Drosophila melanogaster: one gene and its partners. The protein of the gene in region 2 interacts with the protein of the main gene of each other region in a pairwise test. Each region holds a gene or a part of one and is shown on either strand. Other genes may lie near its edges.

Region 1 (4,583 bases), on a different chromosome or scaffold from region 2:
GGAATCAACTCTGATCTTTGCTGAGCCGTAATGCTCGACAGTTCGAAACCACTGAGCGTTGTTTTGAATTTTTCTTCATCAATAAGCCCCGATAACTGAGCCTTTTGTTGCACCAGAGCTGCTGGTTGCTTGTAGGCCGCAAGGCAATCCAAAGCCAATTGTTGTAACTGGGAGTTAGGGCCGGCTAGAAGCTCCAGATAAAAGTCATGCATCTCCGCCTGACGATGCAAAGCCTTGGGGTTGGGCTGGGATACGAAACAGGCAAGTTTTAACTGAAGCGTTTGCAGAATAAACTTTGTGTGGGCATTTTGGGTTCTCCTCTTTTGACGGCCTCGGGGCTCGGGTTTGGTTTCATTGTTTTCATTTTCATCATCCTCCTCAACGTCAATATCCGCAGCTAAAGTAGAGTGAACAGCTTTGAAAAACTGATGGATAATGGATATTCATTTAATTAACTTACCCGTCGCCTCGTTCACATTCCAAGTATGCTCCGATTTCTCCAATTGTGCGCGATATTCGTTATCCACAAACTGCAGAAACAATCGCACCAAATCAGCATTCTTTACCTCAGCAAGTGTGCCCAATTTGGGCACGCTTTGCCATAGAAGCTGGCGGTAGTTGAGGGCCTGCTGAAGGGTCAATTGTTGCTCCCCAGGCAAAGTCAGGAGCATGGTTAGTGCTGCCGATTGGTAGTCCCTTTGATATGGCACTTGCAATGTTGTAACTTCCTTCTTGTAGTCTATGCAGGCAACAGTATCGACTAACTTGGCCTTAAATAATGTCCAGAACTCATCCACTGTCATGGTCTTGACGTAGGCAGCCAGGAGCTGTTGAACCGGAGCCCACACAAACTTGAAATTGTTGTATAAAAGGCCAAGTAAGAGGCTAACGGCGTGCTCCTTGAAATGTGGCAACTGGGAGAACTGTTTGAACTGAGCAGATGCCGGCTCCAATTGCTGCAGTTGGAGGAGTAGCTCGCGGTAATTGTGGACAGTGGGCTCGATGCAGGCGGCGGCATTAAAATGGGAATACGGATTTGGTTTGCTCGAGGAGTTAAGCACATCCAAACAGTGGGCAGCTATGCGTCTGTATAGCGATACAGGCTGGCTTAGAAGACCTCCAATTCCGAAAAGTAATTCATCTGAAGTGGATAGCTCGTTCTTGGGGCCTTGTAAAAGAACCACTTGCAAGCAAGCCAAAGCTCGAATGTCCTTTCCCAGTTCAGGAATAAGGTAACCATTAAGAGAAGATCGCAAACTCTTAGGTAAGTTAAATTTGAGCAGTGCGTGAGTTTGAAGTAGCAGGAGCAGTTGTGTAAAATCCTTTCCGTTATCGCATATGAGCTTTTCAATAACTGATTGCAATCCTTGTTCTAATGGCTGCTTGTTAAAACCCCTCAAATGGGGAACTAGGATGATTAAAAGTAGATGTTCCTCTTTGGTCAGGTCTAGGTGCAGAAGTTCTTGTTCCACTAATTTAATGGTGTCCTTTTGTTTTAACTGGAGAGGATATGCCACCCATTGGGCCAGTGAGTTACCATCAACTTTTAGCGGCCGTTTGTGCAGAACGATGCGAGCCAGCAACTCCCGCGCTCTTAATTGCCTCTGTTCTTCAAAGTACCCAATAACGTTGGGGAGAACCAGAATCTCAAACTGTGAATAGTCCAGAAGCTGCAGAATGGCGTCTTCGTACACGGTCACTTGTTTTCGACTTATGCTTAACAGCTTTTGCAGCAGACGGCTGGCATCCAACTGGGATAGTTGAGTGTGCTGAGCCTTCAACAGACTGGTCACCAATGTTGTTAAGGGCTGAAGAGGATCCAGTTCCCGGTCCAAAAGCTTTAGCAGAGTGCCAACTACCAGCGGAAGCTCGGAGACATATCGCCCATCCTTGTGGGTGACCAGGGGAAGCATTAAGTCGATAACCCTTTGTTCATCCACGCTTTCACTGCTCGCAGCCGAACAGAGTTTCTGCCACAGAATGTTGCTTTGGTCTGAGCGCAGAAAGTTGAGCAGCAGACCCAAAGAATACTCCACGATATCTCCCAAAAGTTCTGTTTGGTCTTTGGTGTGAGCGGAATCCTTGTTGACAAGCACCTCCAGGACGTGGGCAAAGATTTCGGCCGCCGAGTTGTGCAGCTGTCCGTTGACGCCGCGCAGAATTTCGTAGATGAGTCGTCCGCAGCCGTGGACACTCTCCACCTGCTCACGCAACACAGTCTTCAGCACATAGGTCAGGAAACGCGGGAAATCACGGACATCACGAGCAATGTAGGCAAAGCATTCTACCGCAAAGTTGGTCACATGCTCGGCATAGTGCTGTTCATCCAGAAGCGGTAGAATTGCATTGAAGACAACACCTATGTTGCGCTTCAAATAAGGCTTGAGCGTCTTGAACAAATGCGCCAGGCAGATGAGCGTCCATTCCAGTTGCTCGGAGTCTTGGGTGTTCAGCAGGCAGATAAGTCGGTCCAGGACTCGCTGGAAGTACGGGTAGAACTCCTCACGGAGATCCTTGGCCAGGACATAGAGCAGTTCCAACAGCGGCTGTTGGGACAAATTCGTGGCGGTGGAAAGACGTTCCAGGAGCAAGTCTACAACAAAATCCTTCTGGTGCAGCAGCTGCGGCAGGGTGACTATCTTGCGACAGCGCTTGCTGAAGTAGTTGTACTCCTCGGAGAGATTGAGCACGTTCCATTTCTGAATCGTCTGCTGGAAGTAGGTGGCATTCTCCTCTTCGTCGAGCTCCTCGTTCCGATGGCCGATGTGGTAGAGGGCCAAGTGCCGCAGGTCGATTTCATTCACCCGATCTCCGAAAGATTTGAACTGCGGGTGAAAAACGTGTAAGGCGGTTGGTCACCAAACAACTCGAGACTTCTGGGGACACTCACCCGAAAGGTATTGGTGTCCTTCGTTTTTTCCGCTAAAGATGCCATGTTTCTACAGTTTACACTCGACTGCTTAATTTACGGAAAAAACTCTTTTGTTTACGGACAATTTTCTTTCAAATGCAACACGTGCGAAACATATTTACGCACTGTTATCGATAGACAGTCGGCGATTGCACTTACTGAAAACATATGTTCGCTTGAAAATATCGATAGTACAGCATATCGTTCCGAAATGGCGCACTTTTTTAAATGGTCTTCGAAACAATTTAACTTTATAGAATCTTCATTAAATAAAAATTAATTGAATATTAACTGAACATTTTATATGCAATTTTCCACAGCTCGCTGTAATATGCGCCACTCAGTTTGTTTGTTTGATAAGGTCTTTTAAAAAAATAACTCAGTGTTTCAAAAGTCAAGGGACATTTATTAATATGGCACATATAAAAGCGAAATCAAAAATTTGCTTAGGCAGACTCCTGGCACTGAAGATAATTAAAGACAGTTCCTCGTTCCACGTATCGTTTGCTGGTTTCCTGATTCAAGGATTCACCGGACTTGGAAAAGTCTTCAATTGGTCCATACCCACCCCCGCCGGGAGTTTTCATGGCAAAGGTGTCCTGAAAAGGATGGATAAGTAGTTAGTTGAGTTACAAATAAATGCATATCAAAGTATACCCCAGCTTCCACATCAATGCAGGTTTTGCCTGCCAGAGCGATCACTCGACCATCCCGTTTCACCACCAAATTGCGTCCACTCTTCCCGGATTCTCCACCTGCGAGACCGTAGGGCTGCAGAGTTCGTCTCTCTGTCAGGACGGACAGGGTAACTGGCTTGCGGAAGAGGAGATCCCGCTCCACACCCTCGCCTCCGTGGAACTGACCTCTTCCGCCGGAGCCATCGGTGCGAAGGCAGAATCTCTTCAGGATCATGGGATAGCGCAGTTCAAGGATCTCCGGATCAGTGATGCGAGTGTTCGTCATGTGGGTATGCACTCCGCCGGCTCCATGCCAGCCGGGCCCAGCACCAGCTCCTCCGGCCACAGTCTCATAGTAACCCCAAGACTCATCCCCAATAGTTATATTGTTCATGCATCCTTGCGAGGCGGCACAAACTCCGAAAGCCTTCAGAACCGTGTCTACGATGCGCTGCGATGTCTGCACATTGCCGCCGACCACAGCTGCTCCCTCTGAGGGATCCAGGATGGAGTTTTTCGGAATGATCACCTGGATGGGTGCCAGGCAGCCCTGGTTGAGTGGCACATCATGGCCCACCATGCAGCGCAGGCAGTAGATTAGGGCGGACAAGGTAATAGCCCGCGGAGCATTACAGTTGCCCCACACTTCCACTCCCGATCCGGTGAAGTCACAAAGAGCCGAACCCTGCTCCGCATCGATGGTCACCTTAAGGGCGATGGGTGATCCGTCGTCCATGAACTCCTTCGCCTCTAGCACTGTCGATCCAGTGCGCTCCAAAGTATCCCGGCCAATCTGACGCAACATATCCCGAACCGCCAGTTCGGCGTTCTTTTGGATGTGCGACATGTAGGCCTGGACCACATCTAATCCATAGCTGCCGATCAGCTCCGCCACCAGCTGGATGCCCTTGTGGTTGGCGGCGATCTGAGCCTTCAGATCTGATAGGTTGTCGCTCAGGTTCCGGGTTCCCACAGCTCCCTTTGCTGCCGTGGGC
Region 2 (4,309 bases):
GGACTCGAAATCTGAGTTATTTTCTCAACCCGTTTGGGGTCCGAGCCCCAAACATTTTGTGCCCGTTCAAGAGCTGGCTCTCTCTGTGTGTGTGTGTGTGTGTGTATAACATGTCTAGCCATGGTCGACGTCGCCTTTCGGTGGCGCTTGTTGGCTACCGTTGCACGCCGCGCCCAAAAGCCTAGAAGCTGTTGCTGCTTGCGGCTGCCATGGGTCAAGGGGGGCGGTCCAAGGCATGCATCGGGGGCGTGGCAGGGCAAACCGGTTACCGGTCTCGGCCAGAGGCAAAAATGCAGCTAAGCTTGTAGAAGGAGATAACGAGGCAACACAGTGAAACCTCGTGTGCTTGTTAATTGCATTAAAAAAAAACTGATTCTAATAGGGATTTAACGAAAAACTCATTGAAGAGTCAAATAGAAATTGAATTTGGGTTTCTTCTTAACAAAATGCGTGGGGTATAGTGTAATGTCACAACTCGATAATTTGATCAGTCTTTCACTTTTCAGCACTCTTGCCTAGAAATGTACGTTAGCGAGTCTCTACTTCTTCGCATTGTTCACACACATTGATAAACAAGATGTATACACACTATTCGTATGCTAAATGCGTTGGCCTGGCTGCAAAATCAAGTTTTGCATTTTCATTTGAATTTATTGGTTTCCTCGCTGGCTGTTGCCAGGCGCACTGCGATCGAGTGGAGTGACTTGACTTGGAGTGCAGTGCAGTCGACGGTGCCATTGCCATGCGATGCCATGCCAAGCCACGCCACTCGAAGACTTGCAACTTCATTCCCAATCAATTCTCGCATTCTTACTCTTCGAATATGGCGACGGCGTCCAAGAACAACGACAAGGCGACTACACTTGAAGTTAATATTTTATGGGTAGAGATATAGATACATAAATGAGATACACAGGGAGAGAGACGAGGGCTAGAACATCAAATGAAAAAAAAAAAAACAAGCGGAATACACTTAACGTTAGCTATTAATTAAAGCTGGAATTGGAATCCGGATGATGATTTTGTCTACATCCGCACCTGGAACTTGCCCGCCTTGGTCAGGTATTTGACGCCCTTGAAAGGCTTGTACTTCTCGCCGTACATGTCCAGGCGATTTACCTTTAGCCCAGAGACGGCCAGCTGCGAGATTTGGAACTGGACATTCACGGATGGATTGGCATCGATGTTGGTCGTACCGGGCGTAATGGAAACCTAGGCGTGCAAGGACAGTATATTATTAATGGGATAAAAATATAAATAATTTAAGACGTTAGATACATGAATCGTGTAAAAGTGTAAAGGGTCTCAATAGTTATTCTTACCGATCCCCTAATATTTGGCAACTTGGAAACATCGATCCGTCCCACATCCCAGGACAGCGTCTTGGTCACCGAATCGAAGGTATACTTTCCCTGATTCGGCGTCAATAGGCAATTAAGCACACACCGCGGCATGGTCAGCTCCAGCTTCACCTTGTCAACGGTGCGACCAAGGGTGTTCCTCGGGCCAATCGTGAGGTCCAGACGCCCCTGCTCACCCGTTTTGATCGAAAAGTTGTGCCTGATGTAGATGGGTATGGCCACCACGGACTGAGAGCTAATGTGATATGACATCAGGCGGAAGTTTCCGTCGGGCGGGATAAAGGAGAGCAGGCGCTCCGCCTCCCAGCGCTTGTAGCGCACGCAAGGATGGAAGGAAACGTCGTCGAAGAGGCGAGGATTCATGAAAGATAACGTCAGATCTGGCATGCCGGATAACTTAATGCAGCAGTCGATCTGATAAAAAAATAAAAGAGATAGAAATTATTTTTATAGACTTAAGTGAAACTTACGTGTCCCTGGATCTCGGCAAAGACCGTGGATCCGGATTTATCAATGATAGCGTCCACCTCCTCGATGACATCGAAGTACGCCTCGTTGTTGGTGTACCTCACGCCGCTTCTGCGCCAGCGAACCGCCGACAGCTGACCCGAGGGCAAAGTAGTGCTTACACTTCGGAAATCGGATTATTAATTGGATTATTAAGGTAAATGAAAGACAAAGACGGAGGGAGCATCATTCAACTTACTTGCTCTTGCCCGTCACCGTGTTGGCAATGGTGCGCAGGATATTGGGCGGCTTGATCAGCTCCTTGAGGATGTTGCTCTCGGTGGCCAGTGGGAAGCCATTATCGAGCATCTCGTCCAGCAGCTCGTAAACGACCACATAGTTGTCCTTGATCACGGACTCGGAGCAGTCGCCGAAATAGTCCTGGAAGGTGTCCACCACGCGATGCAGGAACTCGATGACAAAGAGCGGCGGCACCTCCTGCTTGCAGGCGGCGACCAAAGACACCGTGTCCCTTTGCACTGTAATCAGGTAGTAGTGGGGCGTGGCTATCACCGGCGGCACATCCTGCAACAAAGAGATATGGTCAGCATACAACCCATACGTGGCACGGGCGACTCACATATGGAGCAGCGCGCTGGGCGTCAAGGAAGTATTCGCACACAGATCTCGAGACAACCGAGCGCCAATGCTTTTCCAGGAAGACCTCGCTGAAATGCGGATATATGGGTATATGGGTATTACATCGTCTTCACATTTCACTTATAGGTATGGCTTACCCGCCGCTGTTTACAATAAACAGACTGTGTATCATAATTCGACCTAAATTGCTTGCTAGTTTAAGCTATGTTTTTTTTTCAGGGATGAATCATTAGCGATGACAGCGTGAAGGTGTTCTACTACCATGCTCCCGAAGCGCTTCAGTAACTGTTAAATAATTTCATTAAATTGAAATTAAGATAGGCTGAAATAAACGAACATTTATTTAAGGGGCCTTATACATAGTTAACTTATGAATTTATTTACTAACGTTGTGTTGTCATCACATCAGCTCATCACTAGCTCACTCGCTCATCTCTAATCGAACAGCTGATTGCTGCGAACCGGAACAAATGGAAATTGTATCGTGAGGCAAGTGGAGTTTCCCCTTTACTTTTGGCAAATAATAAATAAACAAAGGAACAAGCCTAAACATTTTCAATTAAACCATATACAGAACTAACGCACACATGTGACGGAGGCAATACACAAACACGGCACCTTTGAATCTCGCCTTAAAATTGGCGAAACCAACACGGAATTATATAACCGCCGGCTGAAAACACATGAGTCCGTACAGCGGATCCGTGCGTCGTCTGCTGGACAGTTGGCCAGGAAAGAAGCGCTTCGGTGTCTACCGCTTCCTGCCGCTCTTCTTTTTACTGGGCGCCGGCCTGGAATTCTCCATGATCAATTGGACAGTGGGCGAGACCAATTTCTGTGAGACTGCTACGCTTAAAACCTTACTTTTATTTACTAATACGGAATCTTTTCCATGCAGACCGCACTTTTAAGCGCCGCCAGGCGAAGAACTACGTGGAAGAGCAGCAGCATCTGCAGGCGCGAGCCGCGAATAACACCAACTAAGCAAAATGCCCGCCGGAGTTTCCTGGGGCCAGTACCTGAAATTCCTCGGCTGTGCCCTGGCATCCATGATGGCCGGATCGCAGGCTGTTCACCTTTACTATAAGCCTCTGGAGGACTTGCGCGTCTACATCGAACAGGAGCAACACAGCACACAGGTGGATCCCACCGCAAAGCCACCGGAATCTGCATAACACTGTGTACTAGACAAGTTATTGGTGACTAAAGCTATTTAAGTGAATGCCTGCTGTTTGTTGAGGAAAGGGTTGTTGGCATAGCACCTTCATGTCCTACGAAGAGCGTTACCTGTTCCAGAACATTCAAAAGACGCCACGTTTCCACTTAATCAGTCTATTTTAAAATCTTTTCCACTAAGGCTAGCTAAGACTACTTCTCGTGCACCTTCCGGTGGTTTTTAAGACACGTCTGCTGCCGGAAGGCCTGTCCACAGGTGTCGCAAATGTAGGGCTTCTCACCCGTGTGTATGTACTCATGGTGCCGCAGGGTTTTCCTAGAAGCAAAGCTCTCCGGACAGTGGTGACAGGGAAAGGGTTTCAGCTTTAAGTGGACTGCTCTCACATGGGCTTCGAGCTCGAATCGCCTGGCAAATCTTCTGCCGCAGTGCTCGCAGGGCAACTTGTCGTTCGAGTGCATCAGCATGTGCTGCAGCAGCATGAACTTCTTGGCCATCCGGCGTCCACAGACCTGGCATTCGTGGGGCAACTCTTCCTGCACCTCGTGCTGCTGCAAAGTGTGGTACTTGAGGGTGTATCGTGAATGGAACTCCTTTTGACAAATGTCGCAGAAATGGCGCTCTCCGGCGCCGCCCTCCCTGGCGGCCACCTCGTCCTCCGTGGGAT
Region 3 (6,491 bases), 2.5 Mb from region 2:
TCGGACATGCAAATGCGATTGGAGAGCAAGGATGTGGACATTGATGTGCTGGAACGGGATCTAAAGGCCAATACGGATGCGGTCATTCGCCAGGTGTCCACCGAAATCCGGAAACAGTTCAATTTGGAGCAGCTTAAGGCGGCCAAGGCCCAAATGCCTGCGAAGGCGACAAAGGCTACATAGTAATGATTGCCATTACAAACAGATGGACTGGCACATTCCCTTCACAAAGCAACCAAATATTTTTGGTCACAAAATAGCTTGTACGATTAATCTGTTCTTAATTAGTATTTAGGTATGTGTGCAAGAGACGTGTGCGAGTGTGTGTGTGTGTGTGTATAGGATAAGTTTTCAGGTATAGTTTTATCAGGCTTTATACACGGAAATGTTCGAAAGGAGGAGGTTCTTTCGATGCATAATACAGCATCGTTATGTCACTTTAATTAATAATATCTTTTAATGAATATTTAAACAACGACTTTTTCACATTCGATAAGAAATAAGCTTTGAATTGTATTCAACTAAGAACTCTTTTGTTTATTTCTGTTTTCAGACAGCTTATTTTTATATTTGTTATATTATGTTTTATATTTGTCCAAAACCTCCTACCTCGAATTTCCCAAAAAAATATCATTAAGATCGCGTATTTATATTTACCACTAGTTTTACATTCAGTTATGTTATCTTAATGCAAAAAAAAAAGGAAATCTACAAAAATAACAACAGCCATTATCCAATCGAAGAACTGCAGGTTCCCGAGAGGAGTTTCTTTGGTGGATTACCATCGGATTGGTTGGGTTTTTAAGGCCTCCAACAGACTGGAAAGACTGGCAAAAGAATGGGGATTGTCAGCGTTGCTCACAAGCAAACCGCTCCAGCCGCAATTCCGGGCACCTTCATAGTCCATATCCAACTTGTTGCCAATGTGAAGGGCCTGCTCCGCTGGAATTTGCAATCTCTGCAGCGGAATTTCGAAGATACCGCGTTCGGGCTTCATAACACCGGCTTCGTAGGAAGTCAGAATGAAATCGAATTTGCCGGCAAAGCCCATGGCGTCCAGGACTTGTGGCAGTGACGAATCGAAATTGGAGATGATGCCCACACATTTGCCGGCATTTCGGACGTTCTGCACCAACTCCTGGGCACCATTCACGTGACTCCAACAGGCGCTGGTCCGAAAAACGGAAATTAGCCGCTGGCCGATCTTCTCCAGCTTCTCGGGCGCCAGACCGTGGTCCACGCAGCTAAAGGTTCGAGCCACCAGCTGAAGCCACCAACGCTGCCAATCCAATCCCGGCGAGTAACGGCCAAAGTTTGGATGTTCGCTGCTCATCGCCTTGAATTGCTGGCGAAAGCATTGTTCCAATCGGCGGCGATCCACTCCGGTGACCCCGAACTCCTCTGCCGTCTGATGGTACTGGCGAAGGGGATCCTCCAGGCGAAGCAGCGTGTCCGTTACATCGAAGGTCACCAGGCGAAAGCGTTTCAAATTCGCAACAAATTGCGAAGTCAACGACATTTTGGCCAACAGTGTGGTATTGTTTGTCCACTAGATATTACGTATATGCATTTGGTATATTTTAATTTTCGAAAAACCTCCAAAAACACATTTGCTTAGTTGAGAATCGTTTATTGAATTAAATGAAGATGCTTTTCTTCATTTTAAAGTTACAGATTTTCTACTTGTATGAAGAGTTTATTTTTTTTTTTGAATACAAACAATTATTTGGAAATGCCGCAAAAATACATTGCCTAAATTCTGGTATTTTTCGCAACAACTGTACTGTGTGTATTTGTCGGCATATATTTGCTGCCCGCCGGCGGGCACACTAAGCCAAACGAAAATAATTTTGTTACAAAAAAAATCAACAAATCGTATTGTTAAATGGCCGTGCGAACACGAACGACCATAAATCCGCCGCAGCGCTCGATTTCAAATCAAATCCTCGAGGCAGTCGGTAGTTAATAATACCGCAGAGCGGCCAGATCGGGGGATATCTACCATCCATATCCGTGTATCCTCCAACTAGAGATCGGAGCAAATAGTGGAGGAGATCCCGAATAGATCCGGAGTTACGTGATTCCCGGCGACACGGATACGATTCTGGCTGGGATTGGGCTATTGGAATTGGTGTACTGCTAACGGCGGATCATCGATGCAACAATGAATGTTCACAAGCGGCCACGTCTGAATATGGAATTCGGCTCCTCCACCAGCAATACCAACACTTCCACATCCCCGTCCTCCGTAAATATCAGCAATGCGAATCCAACAGCTGGACCTGGCCTCATGACCATTACCAATCACCACACCGCTGATTTGTCAGAGGCCCTGGTCCACAGTTCCTTTGCCAATGGTCAGCAAAGTCTGATTCTCACCAGCGACACGGGAAATCCGCTGATGAATAGCCAAGGTGCTCAGATATTTCTCACCATTTGCGGAGACGAGAACTCGGACGATTCGCAGGAGTACTATACGATTAAACAGGAACCGGGATGTGATCTAGATATCCATTCGCTGCTGCCTAGCAATTTGCAGCTGCCCAACAATCTGCAGCTGCCCACTGGCTGTGAGATATATTTGGTCAAGGAAACCGGCAGCTTAATGGGTGAGCCGCCGACGAAGGCGGCCATCAAGCTGGAACTAGATACGCTAAGCGAAAAGCCGCTCCTTCCATCTGTTACAACTTCCTCCAGCACACAGTCCGCGGTAATAACCGCCCAGACCGTGAATCCTCCCATTCCAGGTAACATCAACACCACCACCAGCACCACTAGCACCACCACCACCACCAGTGTCCTGTATGGCTCCCATGGCAATGGTCATGGCCATGGCCATGCTCACGCCCAAGCCCGATCCCAGCCAGAATCAGCTGGCCAAACACCATCCAGCAAACTGGAGGCGTACAAGAAACGCGATGATAAACGTCGTGCCACGCACAACGAGGTCGAACGCCGGCGCCGCGACAAGATCAACAGCTGGATCTTCAAGCTCAAGGAGATGCTGCCCAGTCTGAGCTCCAGCTCCAGTTTCAGCGAGGCCAGCACGAGTCCCAGCACCAGCGGAAGTACGAGTACCAACGGAAGTAGCCATTCCAAAGGCAATGCCAGCAGTTCCAGCGGACGAGCGCCGCCCAATGACTCCAAATCGCAGATCCTGATCAAGGCATGCGAGTACATCAAGAGCATGCAGGGCGAGATTGACACGTGAGTGGAGACGGGTTTGTAGGGGGGAAACCACTGAATCAGAAATCCACAAATATTGTCCGCTATAAGTTGCTGTACTACAGTTATATATACAGCTATATAACTTTTTTGACTTGTTAATGGTCTTAAAAAATGAGTTTGCTTATAGATCTTAATCAACTCCATTCGCTCAATTGAGCTTACATCATGTATCGATCGCATACGGTTAGGAATAAAGTTACCCAAAGGGCGGACACTTGATCTTTCCCACTTTTTCCGTAGAAATGCGTACTTAAAGTGCTGATATAGGGCTGGTGTTATCTTTTTGCAAAACAAAATCCCCATTTTGGAGCGGTTCTTTTTCGCCACTATCTCGTGCAATATGAGCTGGACTCTCGAATGTCCCTGTGTCACTCAAGTCTTGAACACAACACTCTCTCACACTGATCGAATGCGGTTTCCACCCAAACAAAACCCAACAAAATCATACAAAGCCAATCAAACACCTGATCCACCGATTCACCGATCACCAAACATAAACAAACCAATTACTCAACTTTGTCTATCCCCACCAATAAACAGGCTGCGCGACTGTCTAAGGGAGACGGATAGCCTAAGGGCCAGCAACCAGGCGCTGCGCGAGGAACTTGATCGCCTGAAGCGTCAGCAGCAGCTCCAGGAACGCTTCCACACGGCCGGCGGAAGATCGACGTTTAATGTTACCCTAAATTCGCTGAACAGTTCCGCGACCAGTGATCTATTCGAGGGAATCGATACGACACCCAATCTGGCCGCCGTCTCGTCGCTGGGATTCGGCAAGCGTGGCCTGCTGATCAGCGATTTTGATGAGTAAACAAAATCTGCCTGCGAAATAGGAGTGGATAGACAAAAAAAAAAAAAAAAAAAATAGAAATGAAAAACATATGGGTGGACCGATTGGGTTGCTGGTTACGGGAATAAACAAATATGGAGGCGGCGGATGGACAAGCCCTGGCGCCTTCAACAAACATATACGCCCATCCACCAAAGAATGACGTGCAACGTACACGCAACGCAACACACGCAGTACAATAAACGGACATGACGAGTGATTCCTTGTTATCGCCGCTCTGTTATATGTTATATAAGAAAAGCAGCATATATTACATATGTGTATCGATATGTGTATATGGTTATGTATATGGCTATGTATATGCATGTACATATATGCAGTCGAACTTGGGTGACTCAAGCCAAGTTGTTGGCCTAACCGCTTTGACAAAAAGCTGTTCTCAATTGAGTTTAATTAACGAGCCACGGCACAACACAGCTGCTTTTGTATGTTATATGTATCTGTTATTGGTATTATTCCTAACCAACCCCCCCCTCCAAAAAGTGAGCGCCCAAAAAGAAAAAAAACAAATCATGAAAATAACGATCGAACGAATTTTTGTACCACCCCCATGCCGCGATCATTATCATATTTTGTTTAGAGTCTTGGAATATTAGATCACAAACAAATATTGTTGATAAGAAGCTTTAAAGCACGTTCTGTTCTTCCATGTTTTTTTTTTTCGTATTACATTATGTTTAAGATATACGTAGGTATAGTTGTTTTGATTTGCGCAGCGAATCTAGAACTATAACTTAGCCATGTTTCAAACAAACTCTTTGTGTTCATTCAAGAGAATTCACTATGTATTCACTTTCAACAAGAGATTGTTGTATTTAAATCGAAATATGTTTTTCAAAAATATCAATATTGAAATATTAGCAAAGTACAGCGCAAGATAAGTATAAGTATAAGTAATTTCTTGCTGAAAGTGAAAGTGGAAACTGAAGTGGTTAACAAAGTTTTCGATTTGTTGTTATACAGGAAATTAGTTGTAAGTCTGAAGTTTGAGTAACAAAAGTTCGATTGCACAGATGTGAAATGATTTATGTTCTCGGATCCTCAAGCGGTTTGCCATCATTATATACAAACGTACATACATACCTATGAATTACCCAGAAATACAAGCCTAGAAAAAATCTAAAAGCGTTAACGATACCTACCTATTGCATATATACCTTTAACTAAATCATATTTGGAGCATGTTTGTGCTTGATTTTTCGATTTTATTGTACTGTTTCTCGGCACTAATTACCTACAAAAAAAAAAAAAATGTAACGAAAATATACTATATCTAGTTATATCGTATATATATTATATATATATATAAATATATATGGTCTATATATATATATAGAGAGAGAGAGAGAGAAAGAGCGAGAGGCAAGTGTACATACGTAGTGCAGTCGGTAGAACAGTGGGAATTCGAGCGAGATGCGGCTATATAATGCCGCACTGCTCGCCGGGGGCGTGTGCACCGTTACAGATAAAATGCTATTGTTGATAAAGAATAATATTATATTATATTATATTTGAGCATAATGTTGTTGTGAATGTTATATCACTGTTTTCGATATACGACGCTGTTTCAGAAGTATAAGTATACAGAACAGAAGTGTTTTAAATACGATTCATTTGTAATAATGAAAATGCCAAAAAAAAAAGCAAAAAAAAAAAAAAAGAAATCAAACACACCAACCACACCAAAATACAAACACACTAAGATTCAGGATTTTAAGATATAAGATGGGGTACTGGGAATTGGATTATTTAACCCATGGCCGAAAACGAAATGGGATCTTGTGTTACTTGTTGCTATCTATATGCAGTACATTACAATAATATCACATTTCTGTCATTTGACAGCTAATAATTCTATTCAATTTCAATAAACGAACTCAGTAATGGTTAACACACACAATCAATTTCTCATTCAATGGAATTGTTGGCATGCGGGCATTGATTCTTTAGAAGAATATGGTGGTTTGTTCGCACAGCTGGCTTTCCATGATTCCATAAGTTCATATGTTCATATGTACATATGTACATATGTACATATGTATCAGCAAAAAAGCTGATCTCTTTATTGTAATATATTTTAAGGATTACATAGTGCTTAGATACATTGTGTTTACACAATCAGTCGCCTAGCGTAGTCGCCTACATGGAGTAGTCCGTGTTCCACTGATGCAATGTGCAGATTGGCTCCGTTCATATAGTGCACATTAATGTGGGGATTTTGGAGTTCAGAGATTAAAGTGGAACAGGCTGCTGCTGGATCCCCAGTGCTGATTAGCATATTCTGTAGGGAAATAAGCATTACAAATTGTAAACCTTAGTAGAGTCACTTCTTGCATACCGCCCAAAATTCGTTGCCAGGCAGGGCATTTCCATCCCAGGCGTATGTCACCACGGGCAACATGTCCTCCGTTAG
Region 4 (4,001 bases), on a different chromosome or scaffold from region 2:
ATATATATCCATTGCTCCATTAAGTGACTTATTTTAATCTTAGTATGCAGGCAAAGGAATAATTAATTATTATATAATTATATTAATTGCCGTTCTCTTATAATAAATTAAATTTTTTCTATGGCACAACAATTATTTGTTAATAATTACAGGAAATATCTACTAAATAGACGTTTAAATTGGTTTTATTTAAACCTTTCACGTAAATGTGAAGGCGTTGTGGTAATTAAAAATATTTAAATATTAAGAAAAAAACAGAAAAATGTGGTTTCCTATTGTCTTGTAAAGCCAACAAATAATTATTTTGAAACATTGGCTTACTGCAAATTCCCGTGGGAATTTTGCTGTCTAAACAATTTAAAAAGGATTCTTCTTTATTTAAAGCTTAATAACTTGGAAAGAGAACCAAAAGTTGGCCCGTGAAGGGCTCAACAATGTCGGAGTCAAGCCATAATTTTTCGTGAACATGTTGGCCAGCCACGCCCATGTCCTCGACGGCAAATCCCTGCCACAGAGGATGTCAGAAGTCAAGATCGAAAACAAGTGAAAGTTGCAACAAGCCATTCTGTTTGAGGTCTGCGTTTAATTTTTTTTATGGGGACACTGTAGCCAGTGAGTCGAATTCGAACAGGACCTCTTTCCTTGACCAAATAACGAACTTTGGCTGGAAGGTCGGGAACATCTGCGCCACAAGTTGCGAGCCCAACCAAGCCACCGAACTTTATTGAATAGAAATTCGGTTTCGTTTCCAGAAACTTCATATTTCTGTACGTTATTGTTCCTTCCCCCGCATGAGATACTTTTGCTGTCTGGCGGCGATTTGGTTTCCAAATGTTAACCCTACCCTGTCTTCTCAACTTATCCAGAAAAGGGTGAAGCCAAGCACCACGAAGCCACAAACTTAAATAAGTAATTTTGGGATACAATTTTTTTTTTGTAATTTTCTAAACACAAAGTAATTATTTTTAAATACAAGAAATGGTTCAAAAGGAATGAAAAAGTGTTTCAGTTTCAAAGACCCACAGCCAGAGGCAAAATACTTGGCACCAATTGGCGCTGCAAGGCGTGTTCAAATTCATTAGACATTTGCAAACTGCATATTTGTCATGTGTCCCAAATGCGGGGCATTTCGACCCGTGGATGCAGTTGTCCCAGTGGATATCTGGATATTTTGGTCGTGGTAACCAAACCACTCGAACCAGCTGGACCCGCAACACGGAGTGCTACAAAATGGCCTGATTTATGGCCCCGGATGCCGTGCTGACATTTGGTTCCCGGCCAGCACCTTCCGACGCATTCGATGGCATTCACGTGCCAGCGGACTACTAAAGTCGAAATCACTGGCTCTGTACAATTGTCGATTTCTGTTTAAGTTTGTGGACACAAAATGCAGCTCTTAATATCCTTGTAATAGGTGACTTTAGGCCAAGACTATAAACAAGAATAATACCATCTTAAACTAAACTTGTAAAAGTCTTAAAATCCATAAATATAAATATAAAATGCCAAAATTAAAAAATATTTCAATCTTTTTTAACGCTCCTTACTTTATAATTTGTTTTTCTCATTTCAGAATTTTTTCTGCACAAAGTGGCGCCATCTTCTTTGAGCGAAAGCTTTCAAAGCTTTCAACCTTTGGATAAATGGCTTTGATTGTAAAACAATGAAATAGTTTTAAAAACAAATTTAAGTAATTCGTCATCTTACCTTATTTTTTGTAATATAGTTATACAAATATGTATTACAATATGTCTTAAAATTTAATATCGAAATCTTGGCGAATATTTACTGGCGTTTTATAGGTATCTACATTGTTGTAAGCATCAGTTGCTCGCAATAAATATATTTTACTTAATATATTATTTTAGTCATTAAATAATTTTTCTGTTGTTTTAAATTAATATTTCTCTCTCACGTTCCACTGTACTGTTAATAGAACTTTTAGAGCGATGTTCGTTGTCGTTTTCTTATGAACCGGTTCATCGAAGTGCTCCATCGTTCAAATTGACAGACGTCAAAATCTTCACGTGTGCACAATTTTAAAGTCACTCGGTGTAGTTAGGAAGAAATAAAATTCGAGAATGTCTGCTCCACTTGCAAATCCCCCAACAGACGACGAGCGTGTGAGGGCGCTGACCAATTACCGTACCAAGCTTCTGGAGCACCGCGAGATCGAATCCAAATTGAAAGCTTTGCGAGACAAGTACAAGGTCGTGAATGCCGAGTACGAAAAGTCCGAGGACGATCTGAAGGCTCTCCAGAGTGTGGGTCAGATGGTCGGGGAAATCCTGAAGCAGCTCACACCGGACAACTTCATCGTGAAGGCCTCGAACGGACCGCGCTACGTGGTCGGATGTCGCCGGCAGATTAACAAGGAGAAGCTAAAGCCCGGCACACGTGTCGCCCTGGATGTGACCACTCTCACCATCATGCGCTATTTGCCGCGGGAAGTGGATCCCCTGGTGTACAACATGACCCATGAAGATCCCGGAAACGTAAACTACGCTGAAATCGGTGGACTTGGTCAGCAAATCCGCGAGCTTCGCGAGGTCATTGAACTGCCGCTACTAAATCCAGATATTTTCCTACGCGTTGGCATAAGTCCGCCCAAGGGATGCCTGCTCTACGGACCGCCTGGCACCGGAAAAACTCTCCTGGCCCGCGCCATCGCCTCCCAGATGGACGCCAATTTCTTGAAGGTCAGTGTTTCACATCTGCAATAGATATTATAAATAAATATTTAAATTTGTTTCTAAAAAACTCACCCGAAGGTCGTTTCCTCTGCAATTGTGGACAAGTACATTGGCGAGAGTGCCCGACTGATCCGGGAGATGTTTGCATACGCCCGTGATCATCAGCCATGTATCATATTCATGGACGAGATCGACGCAATCGGTGGTCGCCGCTTCTCGGAGGGAACATCCGCCGACCGAGAGATCCAGCGCACGCTGATGGAACTGCTTAACCAGATGGATGGATTCGATGCTCTTGGCCAGGTGAAAATGATCATGGCCACCAATCGTCCGGATACACTGGATCCGGCGCTGCTGCGTCCTGGACGACTTGATCGCAAATTGGAAATTCCGCTGCCCAACGAAGTGGCGCGTATGGACATTCTTAAGATTCACGCCGAACCACTGAACAAACGCGGCGAAATCGACTATGAGGCGGTGGTTAAGCTCTCCGATTTGTTCAATGGTGCCGATCTACGGAACATTTGCACGGAAGCCGGGCTTTTTGCCCTCCGCTGCGATAGGGAGTTTGTCATTCAAGAAGATTTCATGAAGGCCGTCCGCAAAATAGCGGACAATAAGAAGCTGGAGTCTCGTCTGGACTACAAGCCTATATAGAAAGCTCAGGAGGCCAATAGGTGTTAACAACTGTATATATTGGCACATACATTTAACCTTAACACCCTAAAAAAGAATATTATGATGATTAAAGATATATAATTTTCTAACTTAATCCTAATTGATGAAAAGATTCAAATTTTGATATTAGAGGGATGCGTTTCGAACCCAATAAAGTAATATATGTTCCTGACCAGAAACACTAGGCAAACGAACGCTATGGTCTCTGTAATTTCTGATTAATGGATATCCGAAAGTTCAAAATTTCATGTATGTACACTGATATTGGTTTTTTATTTGCAATTAATTAATACTTTACGAACAGCTGGCAAATGCCTAGCAGTTAAGAGGAACAAGCTCCGTAAACTAAGTGAGTTGAGCTGCAGTTTTGCGTGACAACGTCGAAATACTTATCCTCACAGCTTATGGGAGTCGTTTCCCGGCCATCGACGCATTCGATGTAGTGGTGGCATCCATCGATTTCGGCCACTTCGAAGCCATCCTTGCGCCCATCACATCTATCGTAATCGCATTTCTGGCTCTCGCGCGGCATGCACGCCTGTCGCTCCTGGTTGAAGAAGTTGTTCTCGTCACACTGCTGGTATATGGGATCGGTATCGGGGATACCGGATCCCAAATCGCGGCAGTAGT

The links.
Region 1: the proteins of cm (region 2) and CG4554 interact in a two-hybrid assay, tested with the Drosophila melanogaster proteins (one large-scale study listed by BioGRID).
Region 3: the proteins of cm (region 2) and Usf interact in a two-hybrid assay, tested with the Drosophila melanogaster proteins (one large-scale study listed by BioGRID).
Region 4: the proteins of cm (region 2) and Rpt4R interact in a two-hybrid assay, tested with the Drosophila melanogaster proteins (one large-scale study listed by BioGRID).

Annotation. Positions count from the first base shown.
Region 1 is NT_033778.4:22,481,771-22,486,353, reverse strand, and holds the start of CG4554 (uncharacterized protein), read right to left. Parts: upstream 3,052-4,583; 5' UTR 2,936-3,051; coding exon 2,891-2,935; intron 2,826-2,890; coding exon 461-2,825; intron 398-460; coding exon 1-397. Other genes in the region: CG4752 (uncharacterized protein), read right to left, coding at 3,358-3,510, 3,569-4,583.
Region 2 is NC_004354.4:7,008,452-7,012,760, forward strand, and holds cm (carmine), read right to left. Parts: upstream 2,695-4,309; 5' UTR 2,641-2,694; coding exon 2,606-2,640; intron 2,537-2,605; coding exon 2,449-2,536; intron 2,394-2,448; coding exon 2,068-2,393; intron 1,992-2,067; coding exon 1,832-1,991; intron 1,776-1,831; coding exon 1,323-1,775; intron 1,213-1,322; coding exon 1,027-1,212; 3' UTR 555-1,026; downstream 1-554. Other genes in the region: sloth1 (sloth 1), read left to right, coding at 3,152-3,305, 3,367-3,452; sloth2 (sloth 2), read left to right, coding at 3,458-3,643; CG3032 (uncharacterized protein), read right to left, coding at 3,837-4,309.
Region 3 is NC_004354.4:4,544,102-4,550,592, reverse strand, and holds Usf (Usf), read left to right. Parts: upstream 1-1,798; 5' UTR 1,799-2,164; coding exon 2,165-3,207; intron 3,208-3,768; coding exon 3,769-4,039; 3' UTR 4,040-5,976; downstream 5,977-6,491. Other genes in the region: CG11436 (uncharacterized protein), read left to right, coding at 1-183; CG15912 (uncharacterized protein), read right to left, coding at 779-1,519; CG3568 (uncharacterized protein), read right to left, coding at 6,189-6,359, 6,417-6,491.
Region 4 is NT_037436.4:11,940,023-11,944,023, forward strand, and holds Rpt4R (regulatory particle triple-A ATPase 4-related), read left to right. Parts: upstream 1-1,889; 5' UTR 1,890-2,081; coding exon 2,082-2,699; intron 2,700-2,771; coding exon 2,772-3,350; 3' UTR 3,351-3,463; downstream 3,464-4,001. Other genes in the region: CG5883 (uncharacterized protein), read right to left, coding at 3,694-4,001.